2 linked regions of the Macaca mulatta genome follow. The protein of the gene in region 2 interacts with the protein of the main gene of each other region in a biochemical or structural test. Links are inferred from orthologs where the notes say so. Each region holds a gene or a part of one and is shown on either strand. Other genes may lie near its edges.

Region 1 (10,350 bases), on a different chromosome or scaffold from region 2:
CTGTAATCCTAGCACTCTGGGAGGCCGAGGAGGGCAGATCACGAGGTCAGGAGATCGAGACCATCCTGGCTAACACAGTGAAATCCCGTCTCTACTAAAAAATACAAAAAATTAGCTGGGCGTGGTGGCGGGCGCCTGTAGTCCCAGCTAATCGGGAGGCTGAGGCAGGAGAATGGCGTGAACCCAGGAGGCGGAGGTTACAGTGAGCCGAGATCGCGCCACTGCACTCCAGCCTGGGCGACAGAGCAAGACTCCGCCTCAAAAAAACAAACAAACAAAAAATACAAAATACAAAAAATTAGCTAGGAGAGGTGGCGGGCGTCTGTAGTCCCGGCTACTCGGGAAGCTGAGGCAGGAGAATGGTGTGAACCCGGGAGGCGGAGGTTGCAGTGAACCGAGACCACGCCACTGCACTCCAGCCTGGGCGACACAGCAAGACTCAGTCTCAAAAAAAAAAAAAAAAAAAAAAATTTCTTCTGCCTCCTTCCTCCCCATGCTCCTTAGTAGTCTCTCAGCTTGCCTGGAACTATCTCTCTTCCTCCTTCCCCTAGGAAAGACAGCAACTTGTTGCTGGTCTTCTGGTCCCCACCCTCATCCCCTCATCTCATTCGTGATAAATAAATGTGTGTGTGTGTGTGTATATATATTTTGAGACAGGGTCTCACTCTGTTGCCCAGGCTGTAGTGCAGTAGCACGTACATGGCTCACTGCAACCTCCACCTCCTAGGCTCAAGCGATCCTCCTGCCTCAGCATCCAAGCGTCCAGAGTAGCTGGGACTACAGGCATGTACCACCATGCTTGGCTAATGTGTAATTTTTTTTTTTTTTGTAGAGACAAGGTCTCACTATGTTACCCAGGCTGGTCTCAAACTCCCGGGCTCAAGTGATCCTCCTACCTCGACCTCCCAAAGTGATGGGATTATAGGCGTGAGGTACTGTGCCCGGCCTCATTCATGATCTTTCCAAACCTCAAACCTGAAGCAAGCTGCTGGCCTGCTTGGACTCCTTATTGGTTCCCTTTGCCTGAAAGATAAAGCCCACGTTTCTTAGCATGGTCTTAGAGGTGTCCAACATCAGGTACTGACAGAACCTTTAGCTTCACATCCTATCTACCACATCCTCCCTTCTCTTCCCACACAATCTCCTTGCCAGACCCACTAGGCCAGAATGTTAACTGTCCTCTCCATACTATTTGCATCTCTTTACCTTGAATGCCTTCCCATCCCTTATCCCACTGGAAGAACATCTACTGGTGTCTCAAAGTCATCTCCTCTGATCCCTCCATCCTGAGGATGGAGTCATTCTCTCTGAGAAACTGGGACAGACTTTTAGATCACAATCACTTTAATTTACATGCCTATCCACCACACCAATCAACTTCCTAAAAGCCCCTGGGGGCACCAGTCAACTCACTGTATCTTCCATATGCAAAACCCTTTTACTTCTCACAGGAAGCTGAAGAAGGCAGCACTGTCACTCCTATTTCAGTTAAGGGACTGAGGCTTAGGAAGATAACTTTATTGGCCTAAGTTCACACAGCAAGTAAAGGGGAGCCTAGAAAAACAACCCAGGCCTATCTGACTGATTCTGAAGGCTGACCATGGTCCAGGCAGGGGCTAAGGCAGCCTGGACAGGCCTCCCGAGGATCCCCCACGTGCTTGGCCAAGTCCCAGAAGCAGAGAGCAGAAGCCAGCAGAGAAGGAGAGGACAGTGAGACCAGAGAGGAGACACTGAGGCAGCTGGGGCCTGAGGGAAGGTGGGGTGGGTGGTGACAGATCCGACGACATACAACAGACATGGGGTAGGACAGTGGCAACAACTCCCTGCTGTGGTGGAGACAGCCTGAGTGCTCGTTGAGTCCCAGAGGAGAGGCTTCCTCTCCAAAATGAAGACTTGAGGCCCCGCACTGGGCTGCTGTGAGCAACTGCCAGGGAAGGGCAGGGGATGGAGGGCTACCTTCTTTTTTTTTTTTTTTTTGAGACGGAGTCTGGCTCTGTCGCCCAGGCTGGAGTGCAGTGGCGCGATCTCGGCTCACTGCAAAGCTCCGCCTCCCAGGTTCACACCATTCTCTTGCCTCAGCCTCCCGAGCAGCTGGAACCACAGGCGCCCCCCACCTCGCCCGGCTACTTTTTTGCATTTTTAGTAGAGACGGGGTTTCACTGTGTTAGCCAGGACGGTCTCAATCTCCTGACCTCGATCTCCTGACCTCGTGATCCACCTGCCTCGGTCTCTCAAAGTGTTGGGATTACAGGCGTGAGCCACCGCGCCCGGCCGGAGGGCCACCTTCTAAAAGGTGGAGCCCTGTTCCCGGTACCTGCCTGCACAGCCTCTACTGCACAAACAGGTCTTTTGTACAGACTTCTCTCACTGCTCTGGGTGTGTTTTCCTTTTTCTTCATCTTTTTTTTTTTTTTTTTTTTTTGAGATGGAGCCTTACTCTGTTGCCCAAGCTGGAGTTCAGCAGCACAATCTCAGCTCACTGCAACCTCCGCCTCCCAGGTTCAAGTGATTCTCCTGCCTCAGCCTCCCTAGTGCTGGGACTACAGGCGCATGCCACCACGCCTGGCTAATTGTTCTGTATTTTTAGTAAAGATGGGGTTTCGGCTGGGCGCGGTGGCTCAAGCCTGTAATCCCAGCACTTTGGGAGGCCGAGACGGGCGGATCACAAGGTCAGGAGATCGAGACCATCCTGGCTAACCCGGTGAAACCCCGTCTCTACTAAAAAAATACAAAAAAAAAAAAAAAACTAGCCGGGTGAGGTGGCGAGCGCCTGTAGTCCCAGGTACTCGGGAGGCTGAGGCAGGAGAATGGCGTAAACCCGGGAGGCGGAGCTTGCAGTGAGCCGAGATCCGGCCACTGCACTCCAGCCTGGGCAACAGAGCGAGACTCCGTCTCAAAAAAAAAAAAAAAAAGACGGTGTTTCACCATGTTGGCCAGACGGGTCTTGAACTCTTGAACTCCTGACCTCAGGTGATCTGCCCACCTCAGCCTCCCAAATTGCTGGGGTTACGAGCCTGGGCTCTCTCTCTCTGCCTGTGTTTTCTTTCTTTCTTTCTTTCTTTTTTTTGAGACAGAGTCTTGCTCTGTCGCCCAGGCTGGAGTGCAATGGCGTGATCTCAGCTCACTGCAAGCTCTGCCTCTGAAGTTCATGCCATTCTCCTGCCTCAGCCTCCCAAGTAGCTGGGACTACAGGTGCCTGCCACCACGGCCGGCTAATATTTTGTATTTTTTTTTTTTTCAGTAGAGATGGGGTTTCACCGTGTTAGCCAGGATGGTTTCAATCTCCTGACCTCATGATCCACCCGCCTCGGCCTCCCAAAGTGCTGGGATTACAGGCGTGAGCCACTGCGCCCGGCCTGTGGCTGTTTTCTTAACCTGGCAGTGTCTGGGCTGGGAATAAGGAGTCGGCTTTTAGCATCACGCTTCCCTGCCCAGCCCCACCCAACACAGCTTCCTTCTTCAAGGAGCCTACAGTCTCTGGGAGAAGAGTGAGACAGTCCCAGATAAGTTGGCTACAGAGTCAGCTTCCACCATCAGGCACTCCAGAATGCCCACAGCTGCCCTTTGAGGTGAGCAGATTCATCCCGGTTTTACAGCTAAGGGGAAGATGAGGCTCAGGGAAAGGTGGCCCAGGTCCCACAGAGGTGCAATGAAACCCCAGTCTCATGACCCTGCTCCACCAGAGCCAGAGCTGCCCTACCCCACCTCACTTTCCTTATTTATTGAAGAAAGTGGGTAGGCATGCCAGTCTAAACAGTCTGCCTGGAGTTTGGTGCTCCTGCCCTGACCTCCAGTGACCTCACCACAGCCTCAATTTCTGTAAAAGGAGACAGAGCCCTCCCAGACCACTGCAGCTGTGCCCTCCGTCCCCCACGCCAGGAGGGAGAACTTGCCTGCCAGACTCAGGCTGAAAAATCTCTTTGTGTGAAAGGTCCCCAGGAGGGAAGGGAGGAGAGGGCTCGTGTGTCAACAATATACATTTGGTGAGCTGCTGTTACGTCAGGCACAGAGCTGGTATATTTCACACTAGGAGTTTCTCACTTGGGATCCCCACTGGATACAACCTGTGCTTGGGTCTATGTGTTCATTTTTCCTGGGGGAAGGGACCCACAACTTCCACTAGATGTTGGAATGACTGCTTTATGAAAATTATAGGATATTACTATTTGGGAGGCTGAGACAGGAGAATTGCTTGAACCCGGGAGGTGGCGGCTGCAATGACCGAGAGCACGACACTGCATTCCAGCCTGGGCGATAGAGCAAGATTTCGTATCAGGAAAAAAAAAAAAAAATTGGCCGGGTGCGGTGGCTCACACCCGTAATTCCGGCACTTTGGGAGGCCGAGGCAGGTGGACACCTGAGGTCACGAGTTCGAGACCAGCCTGGCCAACATAGTGAAACACCGTCTCTACTAAAAAAAAAAAAAAAAATACAAAAATTAGCGGGGCCTGGTGGCGCTGTTCCTGTAGTCTCAGCTAGCTACTCGGCAGGCTGAGGCAGAATTGCTTGAACCTGGGAGGCGGAGGTTGCAGTGAGCCGAGATCGCACCACTCCACTCCAGCCTGGGCAATAATTGCGGAAACTCCGTCTCAAAAAAAAAAAAAATTATATCCTCACCACATGCCCCCTACCATTGCTATAAAGATAAGGAAACCAATGCTCTGGGGGACTGGGTGGGTTGCCCAAGGGCATCTGATGAGAAAGTTCTAAAGAGGAACAGAACAGGATTCCTGCTCTTGGGATGTCTTTGAAACAAGAGCCTCGGGAACTCCTAATTCATCTGTCCAGGTTTCACTCTGATGTCCTTCTTGGGGCAATCCTTCCCTGCCTCCTCCACCCCGCAGTGTTCCTTAGTCTTGCACCCAAGACCCTTCATGACCCAGCCCTTGCTGTATCATCTTGTTACTCTCCTCCTCCAGTCACCTCAAGACCTGTGATATCCCTTACCACAATATCTATACTTTCATGCCTTTGCACCTGCAGTCCCTCTGCCTGAATCACCCTAATCCCACTACCCTCAGACTGCCCGAAAAACTCTGTTCCTTCAAAACCCCATTCAAGAGTCACTTCACCTAGAAAGCCATCCCTGAGCCTCCTGGGTAGGGCGGGGGGTCCCCCTGAGGGTTCCCGTAACACCCCACACACTCAACTTTTGCTAGGCCACACAAGTCACACGTGGTCGAAGTTAGGTCAATATGTGATGAATGAAGACTTGGCAGTAGCGTTCGTCGCCCGGGCTCCAGGGCATAGTTCGCTAATGACACGGGCCTGCCCTTCTCACCACTGTCCCCCAGCCCTGCAAGAGCGGCACGGAATAGATGGCCAGCAAATAATTTGCTGACAGATTGAGCTGCTGCGGAGTTCGAGACACACGGCTCCCAAAGGTCCACAGCGGTGCCTGGGTGCCTGCCGACGCTGGGACTTCTCTCGCCGCAGCAGACCCCCAACTACCCACCCTCGAGCTCTGAAGATCCACCCTCTCCCGGGCAGGGCTCCCTGCCAGCTCTGCAAACCGCCTTCTCCAAACGCATGCTGGACAAAACCATTCTCCTCGCGGCAGAGACACATCCCCCGCCCGGGCGGCCGCGCGCACCCGGCCCATCGCGCTCGCGCCGTTTGAATCTCCCGCCTGCGCGGGCGCCGCGGTGCAGGCGTGAGAGGCGCGGCGGCGGAGGGGCAGCGCGGCCCTAGCTCCCGCGAGGCGGGGCCCAGCGGCCGCTGGAGCGCCCCGCGGGGCCGGGGAATCGCGAGCCCGCATCGCGCCTTCCTGCCGCCGGGCTTCACGTGGGGCCAGCGCCGCGCTACACGGGCGAAAGCGGACAGCGACCTAGGCCCGCGTGGACCGGCCCGTGCTCCGGCTGTGGCCGCCCCGCGCACCGCCCTCTGCCCGGACCCTCCGCGCGCCCTGAGCGAGACCTACCTCGGTGCACGTCGGCCACAAGGAACTCCAGCGTTCCCCGCCGGGCCGCGAACTGCCCCAGAGCATGCGCTCTGCAGGCCTCTGGCCCCGACCCGGGCGAGAAAGGAAAACAAAGAGCCCGGCGGCCCCTGGCGGCCATCCCAGGATCTGCATGTGGCGCGCTCACGGGCTGGGGGGAGCTCTTGGCCAGGCTGGCTCCCCTGGCCCGGTTCCAGTGAGTGTGTATTTTGGAAACCCCAAATCGGGACACGTGGACTAACAACCAGAAAGACTCCTTGAATTCGGTCTGTTTAGGAAAATCTCGTGCGGTAGGGTCTGTACGGAGAAAAAAGATATCTTCCCTACCCTCAAGAGGGCATGGAGAAGGATGAAAAATCAGACTATCAGCAACCACACAGCGCTATGACCGTGATACCCACAGGGGCATCTTACTCAGCGCGGGGCTTAAGAACGGCTTTCCAAGTTAAGTCTAGGAGGGCAGGACATCCTAGGAGAAGCGACGTTTGCAATGACAGGGAACCATGAGAACCCAGGGAGGTTGTGGGAAACTGCCAAGTAGATGGGAGCAGAGGGTGCCTGTGGGAGTGACAGATCATGGATGCAGGGTCTTGTGTGTCTAAGGGGTCCAGCCTGTATCCTGAGGCAGTGGAGATATATGAGGATTTGGGCACGGGAATGGCATGATCAGATTTTGTGCCCCGTGAGTTAACATCAGATGGGTATGTGCCCATGTCTTAAGGTTTGAGGGAGGCACATCTCACATGCGTGTGAACACCCAGTCATCATTCTTATGAGCTACAAAAGCATCCCGATATGATCAGATCTTATAGAACAAAATAGAGGATGGACTTGGGGAAAACGGGAGCCAAGTGGGGAAGAGCAAGAGGAACGAGAGAGACCAGATAAAATAGGAGATAAGGGTGTGAGTTGGGGTTGGGTTGGAGATGGAAAACAGGTACCAAGGAAAGGCTGTCTCTTGTTAATACACCCATTCTTCAGGATGGATACAAACAGTTCTTCAGGATTTCAGGTGTTCCCTGAAACCCTTGCAAATGATGTTTTGTTGATTTCACGTTGATTCAGACTCTGAGTCATTCTACTGCACCCAAAGTCTAGATGGACACTTTTGATGAGTTTTTTTTTGTTGTTGTTGTTTTTTTTTGAGACGGAGTCTCGCTCTGTCGCCCAGGCTGGAGTGCAGTGGCGCGATCTCGGCTCACTGCAAGCTCCGCCTCCCGGGTTCACGCCATTCTCCTGCCTCAGCCTCCCGAGTAGCTGGGACTACAGGCGCCCACAACCGCGCCCGGCTAATTTTTTGTATTTTTAGTAGAGACGGGGTTTCACCGTGGTCTCGATCTCCTGACCTTGTGATCCGCCCGCCTCGGCCTCCCAAAGTGCTGGGATTACAGGCGTGAGCCACCGCGCCCGGCCATGATGAGTTCTTACCAACTGAACTTTTTTTTTTTTTTTTTAGACCGAGTCTCGCTCTTGTCAGCCAGGCTGGAGTGCAGTGTTGTGATCTCGGCTCACTGCAACCTCTGCCTGCCGGGTTCAAGCGATTCTCCTGCCTCAGCCTCCTGAATAGCTGGGATTACAGGTGACTGCCACAACACCTGGCTAATTTCTGTATTTTTAGTAGAGACAGGGTTTGGCCATATTGGCCAGGCTGAATTTCTTCTATGCAGGGCCTGCCACAAAGGACTCCCCCGTCTTCAGAGTTTCTTACCTCTCCAAGTTTACCTCTGCCTCCATCATGGACTCCTCTTTTGGATGATGTACTGTGAAATTTCTCCAACTTTTAACCCTGGGATCTCTGATCTCCCTCTCTCTCTCTGCTGTCTTCCTCCAAGATCTTATTCATGTAGCTTCATGTAATAATAATAAATGATGATGATTATTATTGCCTATTTTGTAAGAGCCTTTATTTTGTTAACTACAGAAACATATCCATGTCAGCTCATGTGTTCCTCATGAAAACCTCATGGCAGTTGGAATATAAGAAAACTGAAGTTTAAAGAGGTAAAGCAAGTTTTCTGGGGTCATCGCACAAGTGGTGGAAGGTAACCTGAACTCTTTCTTTGTTTTTTTTTTGACATGGAGTCTCTGTTGCCCAGGCTGGAGTGCAGTGGCGCAATCTCGGCTTACTGCAACTGGGTTCAAGCAATTCTCCTGCCTCAGCCTCCCGAGTAGCTGGGATTATTACAGGTGCTCACCACGACACCCGGCTAATTTTTGTATTTTTAGTAGAGACAGGGTTTCACCGTCTTGGCCAGGCTGGTCTTGAATTCCTGACCTCATGATCCACCCACCTCAGCCTCCCAAAGTGCTGGGATTACAGGCGTGAGCCTCTGCACCCAGCCTTAATTTTTGTACTTTTAGTAGAGATGGGGTTTCTCCATTTTGGCCAGGCTGGTCTCAAACTCCTGACCCACCCAGGCTAGAGTGCTATGGCATGATTTCAGCTTACTGCAATCTCTGCCTCCTGGGTTCAAGCGATTCTCCTGCCTCAGCCTCCCGAGTAGCTGGGATTACAGGTGCCCACCACCATGCCCAGCTAATTTTTGTATTTTTAGTAGAGACAGGGTTTCGCCATGTTGGCCAGGCTGGACTTGAACTCCTAACGTCAGGTGATCCACCCGCCTCGGCCTCCCAAAGGGCTGGGATTACAGGCATGAGCCACTGTGCCTGGCCATTTTTTGTATTTTTAGTAGAGACCAGGTTTCACCATTTTTGCCAGGCTGGTCAGGAACTCCTGACCTCAGGTGACCCGCCCATCTTGGCCTCCCAAAGTGCTGGGATTACAGGCGTGAGCGACTGCACCTGGCATTTATTTATTTTTTAGTTTTGTATTTGTATTTTTTATTTTATTTTGAGATGGAGTCTCATTCTGTTGCCCATGCTGGAGTGCAGTGGTGCAGTCTCGGCTCACTGCAACCTCTGCCCCATGGGTTCAAGCAATTTTCCTGCCTCAGCCTCCGGAATAGCTGGGATTATGGACACGCACCACCATGCTAGGCTCATTTTTGTATTTTTAATAGAGACCGGGTTTCACCATATTGGCCAGGCTGGTCTTGAGCTCTTGACCTCAAGTGATCCACCCACCTTGGCCTCCCAAAGTGCTGGGATTACAGGTGTGAACTACCGCACCCCGCCCCAGTTGTTCTTTTGAGACTAAGTCTCACTCTGTCACCCAGGCTGGAATGCAGTGGCAGATCTCGGCTCACTACAACCTCTGCCTCTCCGGCTCAAAAGATCCTCCTGCTTCAGCCTCCCGAGAAGCTGGGAACACGGATGTGCACCACCATGCCCAGCTAATTTTTTTTTTTTTTTTTTTTGAGACAAAGTCTTACTCTGTTGCCCAGGCTGGAGTATAATGGCATGATCTCGGCTCACTGCAATCTCTGCCTCCTGGGTTCAAGTAATTCTCCTGTTTCAGCCTCCTGAGTAGCTGGGATTACAGGTGTGCACCCGGCTAATTGCCCATCTAATTTTTGTATTTTTGGTAGAGACAGGGTTTCACTATGTTGGCCAGGCTGGTCTTGAACTTCTGAGCATCAGCAGTCAGCCTGCCTTGGCATCCCAAAGTGTTGGGATTACAGGAGTGAGCCACTGCAACCAGCTGATATGGAGGTCCTGGTTGTAATAATGTACTGTGGGTTTTATAACATATATAAAAGTAAAATACATGACAGTATCAAAGACTATATAGTGAGAAATGGAAGAAATATTTTTATTTTTATGTATGTATGTATGTATGTATTTTTTTTTTTGAGACGGAGTCTCACTCTGTGGCCCAGGCTGGAGTGCAGTGGCACGATCTCCGCCCACTGCAAGCTCCGCCCCCAGGGTTCATGCCATTTTCCTGCCTCAGCCTCCTGAGTAACTGGGACTACAGGTGCCTGCCACCACGCATGGCTAATTTTTTTGTATTTTTAGTAGAGACGGGGTTTCACCCTGTTAAGCCAGGATGGTCTCAATCTCCTGACCTTGTGATCCGCCTGCCTCGGCCTCCCAAAGTGCTGGGATTACAGGCGTGAGCCACCGCGCCTGGCCAGAAATATTTTTAAGTGTTTTTTTTTTTTTTATTTTTTTTTTTGAGATGGAGTCACTGTCGCCCAGGCTAGATAGAGTTCAGTGGCGTGTTCTCAGCTCACGGCAACCTCTGCCTCCCGGGTTCAAGCAATTCTCCTGCCTCAGCCTCCTAGTAACTAGGACTACAGGTACGTGCCACCATGCCCGGCTAATTTTTGTGTTTTTAGTAGAGAGGGGGTTTCACCATGTTGGCCAGCCTGGTCTCAAACTCCTGACCTCAGGTGATCCGCCGGTCTCAGCCTCCCAAAATGCTGGGATTACAGGTGTGAGCCACCGGACTCGGCCTTTTTTTTTTTTTTTTTTTTGAGACGGAGTCTCGCTCTGTCGCCTAGGCTGAAG
Region 2 (10,400 bases):
CTGAGATCCACAGCTAGTGCTGTGTGGCAGCTCTAAGTGCCAAGACTACCAAGGAGGAAGCAAACTGTGGACATGTGGAAGGTGGTGGTGAGGAGCTTTACCCGGAAGTCCCAGGCCACGTTATTCTCTACTGCGTAGGGGAGAGTCAAAGAGAACACCACTCCACCAGACCCCTTAAAACAGAAAACACCACCACTAGACCCTGAATAGATAATGATGCAAGCCCAGCTGCCTCACGATTGCTTCATAGTACCATGGAGAGCTACCAAATGCCTGGCCAAGCCAATACCAGCCATCTCCGCAGTGCTGTGGTTCTCTGTTAAGTCTTCACAAATGGCACTCTCTTCTCAGAGTCCCCAAATGCATCTCAACTTTCCTCAAATGGCCCTCATCTCCCACTACACTCAGGCCTATTCACTGTCTGAACTCACTTAGGAGGTCAGAATTCAACCCCCCTTCTCCACCCCAAACTCCTCCAAATGCCACTCGAAGCTCACCCCATTCCTGTTGCCTCTGCTCACTCCAACCACCTCAGAGGAGGAGCACACACCAGACCCAGGTTGACTCTAACACCTAATGAATGCACGAGGGTGCCGGGAAAATCCCATTTTCTGGTAAATGGAAAGGCAGCCTGAAGACTTGTTTGAAACGTTTTGCAGAAGTGCAGTGAGGGCTTTCCTGTCTATACGCAGGATCCTGGGCAAAATGGAAAGTCTCTTCAAAGTGTGTAAAAGATTTTGCAGTGTGGACACCCCTCAGGTACCATCAGGCCCCTTCTGCTACAGATACAGGAGGCACAGTGGAGGTGAAAACACACATTCTGCTCTCAGCAAAAATCCCAGAATTAGTTTTTTATCACAGATTCATGAGAAATTTTCCAAAAGTTGTTTAGGATAGGTTCCAACTATTTCAGTTCTAGCTAACCAATACAAATTCAGTTGCAACTCATCCTCTCAGGGGCTAAGTTTTAAGTCAACAAGGTACAAACTGAGAGAAGCCAAACCATCCTCAAAAATCTCTCAACTCTATACCTGGTCAGGCTTTTAAATCAGTGGTTCTCAACTGAAAGCAATTCTGCCCCCCCGGGGGACACTGGTGATGTCTGGAGACACTTCCGTTGTCATGACTGGTAGGGGTGAGGAGGGGGATATGCCATTAGCATTTGGTGGGGTAGAGGCCAGGGATCCTGACTAAGATCCTACAGTGCACAGGGCAGTCGCCCACAACAGAGAAATGCCTGGCCCCAGATGTCTGTAGTGCTGAGGCTGGGATCCCTGGGATCACTAAGTGACAGGCAGGACAGAACTTAGGAGGACCCAGAGCCCAGGCCCTGCTGGTCTCCTGCCAGGGGCTCAGTCCAGGGCCAACTCTGAGTGGGGCAGGTTCACCCACACAATGGAGACTTTGTTGAGCCCTTAAGCTAAATGTGTCTAGAGCAGAGTGCACTGTAGTAAAAACAGCAACCTGAGTGTTTATTACCATGAGCAGAGATTGGTGCTAAATACTGGATTTGCATTAATTCCTTCAGTGCTCACAGCAACCACGAGGTGGGTATGGTTATCATTATTCCCATTTTATTGGTGTGGAAACGGGGGTTCAAAGAGGTTAAGAAATTTGCCCCAAATGACTCAGAGTGGACAGTAGAGTTAAAACACAGACCCAGTTCTCTATAAGGACCGAAGCCTGCGTCCCCACCATCAATACCAGTGAGTCTCTCATCTGGGGGCGATTCTGCAACCTCCCCACCCCCACTCCCCAGGGATGTCAGGAGACTTTTTCTGTTGTCATGATGACCCCGGGAGTGAGGGGAGGTGTGTGCTACTGGCATCTAGTGAGTAGGTTCAAGGATGCTACTGTGCTGCTAAACCTACAATGCACAGGACAGCCCCCCTCCCGCCAACAGAGAACGATCAAAATGTCAGCTGCACCACACAAAGGTGAGAGCCCTGCTTCACACCGTCTCCCGGGTTTCCACCACACATAGTCCACAGGCCAACAGGGCCTTTCATGTCAGGATCTAGAATCCAAGATTCCCTGGAGTTCAAATGTGCTTTGCTCATCCTCTTCCCAGTCTTCTTTACCTTTGCCAGGGACAAAACTCTGCTTTCAAATCCTGATGCTGCCTACAATGCAGAATAACCCCAGAGACAGGATAAGTAATGAGTCTGGAAGGTATCAATGGGGAAATGCCAAGCAGGGGAGACTTATCCCTGGATGCAAGGGTGACACATGCACACACACTCTCTGAGAGGAAAAGCACTCAGGTGGACTTTAAAAGTCACAAACCACAGGAAGGGCTGTGAGAGTTGTTGTCACCATCCATGAGGCGATCACCATAGTGACGAGATCCAACAAGATGCTTTACACAACAGAAAACATTTCGTCATATACAAGCAGAGGACATCTACCCTCTACTACTCAAACCAGAGGGTCTCAACCCTGGCTACGCATGAGAATTACCTGTGCTGCCACCTACACAGAGGCCCAGGGCCCATCCAACACCACAGAGAATCGGAATCTGCAGGGCGTGGGGACTGAGCATCTGTGGCTTCAGGAAAGCTCCCCAGGTGATACTGATGCCCAGCCGTGTGGACAGCCGCTGCTTAGCCTGACACAGAGGTGGGACTGGCCCAGAGAAAAAAGACGGCAAATGGATGGAGGAGGGACATGGTGTGAGGGTGGAGCAACTTAAGATCTCAGTCTGGAAAGACAGAAGCCAAGAGGGCATTTGACTAGAGCTTAAACAGCAAGAGCAAACACATGACCATGGGGCAGTCCCTAAAACTTCAAAAGGCGCAGGCAAGGAGGCCCCACTTTACACAGTGAATACGAAATTAAACATCCTGGCAGGCTGTACAAGCCAAAACCAGAAATGGAGTGTTCAAGAAACACCATGACTGATTAAAGGACTGCAGGAATATGTGAGGCACAAAGTCCACCAAGGTTTGATTTCCTCAAGACAGCGATCCTTGAACTAGTGTCAGGGATAACGTGCTAGGTGAGTGTGGCATTTACTAGGGAAAAAAAGTGAAGTTCAAAACATTCCATTTCTCTCTTTGGCCCTTACCAGTTCAACTATGCCATTTACAACCAACAGCTCACGTGTACCGCATATGCTAGAAAGAGTATCCCCTGGAAAAGGGCAATCCATAATTTTCCCTTTGTGCTCAAATGTATTCCTCACAACAGGGTCCTCACTGGTGAATTCATTCATTCATTCATTCATTCATTCAACCAATATTTCTTGTATACCTACTCTGTGCCAGGCACCGTTCTAGATGCAAGGGGGTAATCAGTGATCATGACATAAAAATCCCTGACCTCATGGAGCGTACACGAGGCAAACATGCAAGTAACATCTAGCATGCTGGATTGTAAGAGCTGTACAGGAAAATCAAGCTAGGTGAACGGAATAGAGAACGTGGATATAATTTGAAATAGGTGGCCAGAGAAGCTCTCATTAATAAAGTAACATATGAGTAAAAACCAGAAGAAGTGAGCCACGGGGGTATCTGGGGGAAAACTGTTTCAGTTAGAGGAATCAGTAGGAGAAAAGGCTAAAAGCGGGGAGTGTATGGAACATTCAAGGAAAACTGAAAAAGCTAGAGTAGTTAGCACAGAGCAAGTCAGCGGAGAGTGGTGAGAGAGAAGGACAGGGAGGCACTGGGGCCCACTATGGGTTGAGAAGTTTTCAGTAGGGTAAGGGTGGAGGGAACAGGGGCCCAAGCATTGACAGTCTTGGTGGGGAGAAGTGGTGGTCCCCCTTTGGAAATAATTTTAAGGTAGAAATGACAGAATTTGCTGTGGAGTATGAGAAAGAGGGAAACCAGGGATGACTCCAAGGTTTGGGGCCTGAGGAATTCAAAGAATGGATCTGCCTAACTACAATGGGTGAAAGACCATGGGATGGGTGGGTGTGGTGGAGATAAGGATTTTTGTTTTGGAAATGCTCCAGACAAGCCTATGACACATCCAAATGGAGATGTCCAAATGTGATGCTGGACATGAGTCCTGAGTTCAAGAAACTATATGGGCTCAGGATGTAAATACATAAAATATGTCATATTGATTCCCACTTACCCATTCCCTCTGTAACTAGATCTCATGAGTTGGAACGCTGCAACCCTCCACGGGCTCCTTTATCTTAAAAAAAGAGATGTAGCAGCTGGGCGCAGTGGCTCACGCCTGTAATTCCAGCACTTTGGGAGGCTGAGGCGGGTGGATCACGAGGTCAGGAGATCAAGACCATCCTGGCCAACATGGTGAAATCCCGTCTCTACTAAAAATACAAAAATTAGCTGGATGTGGTAGCGCGCGCCTGTAATCCCAGATACTCGGGAGGCTGAGGCAGGAGAATCGCTTGAACCCGGGAAGCGGAGATTGCAGTGAGCCGAGATCACATCACTGCACAGCCTGGCAACAGAGCGAGACTCCGTCTCAAAAAATAAAATAGAATAAAATGGCCAAGAATCAGGGAGCCCACCTGTGCTGCTTCCTGTACAGATGCCCAGCGCCCGCCCAACACCACACAGAATCAGAATCTTTAAAAGTCCGAGACCCCGTGGTCTGGCATCTGAAGCCAGGCCACCTTGGTTCACATCCCTGCTCCTTCCCAGCTGTGTGACATGCCTTGGATAAGCGACGTAACCAGGCTGACTTAGTTTCCTCATCAAGTGAATGGGGCTAACAGTATCTATACCTCCTCCCAGGGAAAACAGTATGTCAGGACTTTGCACCTTAACTGGTACTACCCTAAATGCTCCACAAGACCGAGCACTTCCTATCATAATTCATTCATTAGTGCAATTCGGGATGGAAAACTCTCCAGCTACAGGGAGCACCGGATGAGGGAATCAGGGCCAGACAGGTAGAGAGATTGCCTGCATTTGTGCAACTAGAAGAAGGGGGAGCTAAAAATAGGCCTCAGAAGTCCTGAAGCTACAGCCATGGCAACACGACTGTGGATGGAAGCAGACATCAGCCTTACGGTGCCTTCTCGGGGGATCTGGAAGTGTAACCTTGTCAAAAACACTCAGGTGGGCTGTCAGCGCTCCACAGAGGAGGGATTCGCACGGTCTCTGTCTGGAAGCGCAGCAAAAAGGACCAAAAAGCAGCCAGGGCTTTCGGCGGCCCAGATCCTGCGGCGGGGCCTAAATGAGGGGGAGACGAGGCGCCCCGAAGGATCCGGGGGGAACTGGCGGGAAGTGGGGGCCGAAGTTCGGGGCGGGGACGCGGTGAAAACGGCCTGGGCTTCCTCCGGCCGCGGTGTGCGGCTGGTCCGCGGAGGACGAGGGCCTCACGGGCTCAGGAGATAGGCAGCCAGGCCGGGGAAGGGGAGACGTCGGGTGGCGGAGGACGAGGGGGCGGGGAGGGAGCGTGGCGCGCTCCGGGCCACGACCAGGCCCCAAGGTCTATTTACATCTGTGGCCGAAGCACTGGGGCCGCTACTCCCGCCCCCTTCAGCCCCGAGCTTGGCTGCGACGCAGAGGGCCCTTAGGGCTGCGATCTCGACGGCCTCCCGGCTCCTCTAGCCAAACGGCTGCAGGAGCCGAGGCTGCCGGGAGTGATGGGCCGGGCCGGTGAGCCCGACCTGAGGGGAGGCAATAGGGGGCGGCTGCAGGGCCCGCCAGGGTGCTAGCCTGAAGCGGACGAAACCCTTGCACTCTGCGGTGTTCCCCCCACAGGCTTGTGGCCTCTGGTCCTCCCGCTGCCCGTTCCCCGGCCGCCAGCCGGTCCCCGACGGCGCCTCCCCTACCTTCGTTCGCCAGGTCCGCCATTTTACTTCCTTAAGCCCTCCCACAAGGCCCCGCGCCGGCCCAGGCTCGCCTGCTTTCTGCCAGAAACTCCCGCGCGTGCGCACTTAACAAGCCTACTCCCTGTGAGGCGGCCAGCTCGCGCCTGCGCGCTGAGCGCCGCGCGGAGGCGAGCTTCAGATCGCCTGCCGGGCCAAGCCGCCTGCCCTGCGGAGCCGCGCTCCCAACACACGCCTGCGCACGAGCCGTCTCCCGCCTCCTTTTCCCGCCGACTGAGGGGGCGGGGACAGGGCCGGGAAGGGCGCATGCGCAGTGGCAGCGACGAAAGTTTAGTGAGGCGGCGCCGCGCGGCGCGAGGCGGGTCTTGAGGCTCTCGTTTTTCCCGCTCGTTTTCCGGGGATCCCCCGCGGTGGGACAGTGAGCAGTTCAGGACGCCTCAGCCGAGGTCTTCCTCCAGGTAAACCCCCGGGCCTGCGGCGGCTTCCCACACGCGCGGGCGGGAGACGCGTTACCTCCTGCCTCAGTTTACCCGCCTTAGGAGCCGTTACCTTCAGCAAACCCTTTCCTGAAACCACGGGGGAAGTGGCGAGAGGGCGCGGGGTGCTTGGGATTGGGGGGAATCAGAGCTCATCGGCGAGGGCGGGGGTCGTGGTCAGGCGCGAGGAGGGAGCGCAGCCCTGGGACGCAGGTGCTGGCGGGGGGCAGGGGGGACCCGGCGCGTGGAACTCGACCCCTCGGAGCCACGAGAATCAACTTCACAAGCTCATGGGAGGGTGTTGGACCCCGCGCGCCTCCAGGTTCCCCATCTGGAAAATGGGACCATCAGCCTCACTCGCAAGGCTCATGGGAGGGTCCCGGACACCCTGGAGTTGTTTTCTACTCACCTGCTATGAATCTGTCAGCAAATCCTTCGGACCTGGCCTTGCCTCCAAAATACAGCCCAGATCCACGCTTTCTCCCCAGCCAGGCTGTCACCACCCTAGGCCACATCGTCCCTATCTGTCTCATGGAAGACTTGGACAGTCTCATGGAAGACTTGGACTTTGCTGCATTCTTTGGAAGCCCCAGGCTCTGTTCTGCCCATGGCCGCAGGCTGAGGAGTCTTTTAAAAATGTAACCAGCCTGATGCGGTAGCTCACCCCTGTAATCCCAGAACTGTGGGAGGCCAAGGTGGGAGGATCTCTTGAGCTCAGTTCAAACCCAGCCTAGAAAACAGAGCAAGACCCCATCTCTACAAAAACACAAAAATTACCCGGGTGTGGTGGTGCAGGCCAGCTACTCGGGAGGCTGAGGCAGGAGGATCACATGAGCCCAGGAGGTTGAGGCTGCAGTGAGCTATGACAACAGTGCCACTGCCACCATCCTAGGGACAGAGCAAGAACCCCCCCATATATATAGATATAAATACTTTGTTTTTATCTACATACATATATACACACACAGATATATACATACATATGTGTGTATATATTTGTGTGTGTGTGTGTATATATATATACACACATAGACTGAAAACAGAAATATCAAGGCCACTCAGTGCTTCCAGAGGGCTCTCAGCTGAACTTGGAATATCCTAAACCTTTTATTCAGGCTTATGAAGTCCCCTGAACTTGGCTCCCACGCCCCACTTTGTTTCCCCTTGCTCATTGCTGTTCAGCCATGTGGGTCTTTCCGTCCTTGGAGCACAAGCTCATTCCAGCCTAAGGGCCTTTGTACTTGCTGATTTCTCTGCCTGGGACCTTGTATTTCAGGTCTTACCTAGGTTTGAGTCCCAGCTCTGTACCTTTTTGAGTATGATCTAAAAGAGAGTGAGGAGTACTACAATCTGTGGTCCAGATATAGCCTATGAACTAAAAATGGTTCCTCCCTCCCTCCCCTTGTTCCCTCCCTCCTTTTCCTTCCCTTCCCTTTCTTTTATTTATTTTGGAGTCTCTGTTGCCCACGCTGGAGTGCAGTGGTACAATTTTGACTCACTGCAACCTCCGCCTCCCAGGTTCAAGTGATTCTTCTGCCTCAGCCTCCTGAGTAGCTGGGATTACAGCTGTGTGCCGCTATACCCAGCTAATTTTTGTGTTTTTTTATAGAGACAGGGTTTCACCAGGCTGCTCTCGAACTCCTGACCTCAGGTGCTTCACCCACCTTGGCCTCCCAAAGTGCTGGGATTACAGGCATGAGACACCACGCCCTCTGACTTTTTACATTTTTAGCTGGTTGGGAAAAAAAAAATACCAAAAGAAGAATATCTCTTGATGTGAAAATGGTGTGAAATTTACATTTCAGTGTCTGTACATAAAGTTTCATTTGCAAACAGCCATGCTTACTCATTTATATATTATCTCTGGCTACTTTTGAGCTATGACATTAGAGCTATTTACATGGTTGTTATACTTTTCTGAACAGCCAGTGGGATGTGGTAAATATTTAACAACAGCTTCTCTGGAGGAGAATGTATTTGTTAGTATGTATTTATGTGTGTGTATATAGTTTATTGTAAATTTTACTGATTTTTCTATCACTTCCTTAAGACCACAAGACAATTAATAAAACAAATTGAACCCTGATTTGTAGCGTCTGCTGATTTTCTTGGTGTAAATACTTCAGTCATGGCCTATATTAAGTTACTAATGTGATATCACTAATACCAGAGTCTCAGTCTGTTGCCCAGGCAGGAGTGCAGTGGTGTGATCATTACTCACTGCAGCCTCCAATTCCTGCACTCAAGCAACCCACCTGCCTCGGTATCCCAAAGTGGGGGGATTACAGGCGTGAGCCTCTTTGGGAGGCTGAGGCAGGTGGATCACCTGAGATCAGGAGTTCAAGACCATCATGGCCAATGTGGTGAAACCCCTTCTCTACTAAAAATACAAAAATTAGCTGGGTATGGTGGCGGGCACCTGTAATCCTAGCTACTTGGGAGGCTGAGGCAGGAGAATCACTTGAATGCGGGAGACAGTGGCTGGAGTGAGCCGAGATCACACCACTGCACTCCAGCCTGGGCAACACAGTGAGACTGTGTCTCAAAACAAAAACAAAAACAAAAAAACCACAAAGAAATTCTCTAAGAGTAGCTCGAATGTCAGTCCCCCTGGTCGCCCACAGTGTGTAGAACTCAGGTCATCTCTCATTCCTAGGGTGTTGGTCTCATTATTTTCAGGTTTCCCCAAACTTCTCTTGGGTAGGTCTTGGCAGCCTTTACCATATCTGAACGGTGTGACCTTTAATGAACTTGATACTTTTCTTTTGGTTTAAATTTTCATTAAATAGATACTTTGTATCACTGTTTAAAATAGAAAAACCACTAAGCCATGAGTACACCATTGTAAAAGCAAACATGAAAACGAAACAATGTTTTCAAATTCAAAGTAGATACTGTTGCCTATCAAGGTGTTGGGACTGCTTTTTCCTTGATACAAAGGGAGATTAGCAAGTATTAGAGCGTTATTGAAGACGCTTTAGCACTTGGCGGGAACTTTCTCCTTGAAGTGATGAGAAGGAGTGAAGAGAATTGAAAATGGGCTAACATAATCTATGTGATTCATTATCGTTTAACACCATGTCTACATGTCGCCTAAAGTCAGGTCACACACCACATTCATCCCACACTTTGGGAAGCTGGCAGCACCGTGTCATCACTTGCTAAATATTATCCAGTCATGGCTTTTCAGGGGATACTGAGACACGCAAAACCTGTCAGGTCGATGAGCCAAGGACGTTTCCAGTGGTTTCGCAAGCCTCCTCCAAGTGTTGATGGCTGCCAGCTTTCCTTATCTGGCCTCTGGTAGCAAATTAACTTAGTCAACATTCACTTACACAAATATTTCTCAATTGCCTACTGTGGTAGCTTTAAAATATGGTCCCAAATTTGTTGACCCTTTTCCCAGCAAGAGAGGAGGGTGCTCCCTTCCCTTGAATGTAGGTGGGCTTGCTGATCAATAGAGCACAGAAGAAATGACACCGTGTAACTGACAAGGCTAGGACATAACGGACAGAGATACAGCTTCTGCAGCACTGCTGGAACACTCTCTCTGAAAGCTTTTGGCCACCATGTGAGCAGTCCAACTGCCCTGAAGCTGCCATGCTGTAAGGAAGCTGAAACACAGATCTCATGGCAAGGCCCTGGCCAAGAGATGCTCAGCCAACCCCCAACAGCTCCTGTGGCAGCTGCTGACTAATTGCATGAGAGACTCTGAGCCCCCACACAACCACCCAGCCTAGCCCTTCCCATTCCTCACCCACAGAACCTATGTTTGTTTGGTTGGTTGTTTTGAGACGGAGTCTCGCTCAGTCGCCCAGGCTGGAGTGCAGTGGCGTGATCTCGGCTCACTGCAAGCTCCACCTCCTGGGTTCACACCATTCTCCTGCCTCAGCCTCCTGAGTAGCTGGGACTACAGGCGCCCGCCACCGCGCCCGGCTAATTTTTTGTATTTTTAGTAGAGACGGGGTTTCACCGTGTTAGCCAGGATGGTCTCTATCTTCTGACCTCGTGATCCACCTGCCTCGGCCTCCCAAAGTGCTGGGATTACAGGCGTGAGCCACCACGCCCGGCCAGAAACTATGAAAGATAAATACTTGCTGTTATCAGCCACTAAACTCTGGGGATGTTCGTTACGCAGCATTATGTATCTACCATAGCTACGAAGCATCAGG

The links. The genes of interacting proteins can lie anywhere in the genome.
Region 1: the proteins of RANBP3 (region 2) and RCC1 form a complex in vitro, tested with the Homo sapiens proteins (2 studies listed by BioGRID). The link is inferred for Macaca mulatta from reciprocal best matches to the Homo sapiens genes RANBP3 and RCC1.

Annotation. Positions count from the first base shown.
Region 1 is NC_133406.1:212,380,400-212,390,749, forward strand, and holds the start of RCC1 (regulator of chromosome condensation), read right to left. Parts: upstream 6,067-10,350; 5' UTR 5,986-6,066; coding exon 5,920-5,985; intron 1-5,919. UniProt on the Homo sapiens protein: Guanine-nucleotide releasing factor that promotes the exchange of Ran-bound GDP by GTP, and thereby plays an important role in RAN-mediated functions in nuclear import and mitosis.
Region 2 is NC_133424.1:6,854,470-6,864,869, forward strand, and holds the start of RANBP3 (ran-binding protein 3), read right to left. Parts: upstream 5,795-10,400; 5' UTR 5,778-5,794; coding exon 5,756-5,777; intron 1-5,755. UniProt on the Homo sapiens protein: Acts as a cofactor for XPO1/CRM1-mediated nuclear export, perhaps as export complex scaffolding protein. Bound to XPO1/CRM1, stabilizes the XPO1/CRM1-cargo interaction. In the absence of Ran-bound GTP prevents binding of XPO1/CRM1 to the nuclear pore complex.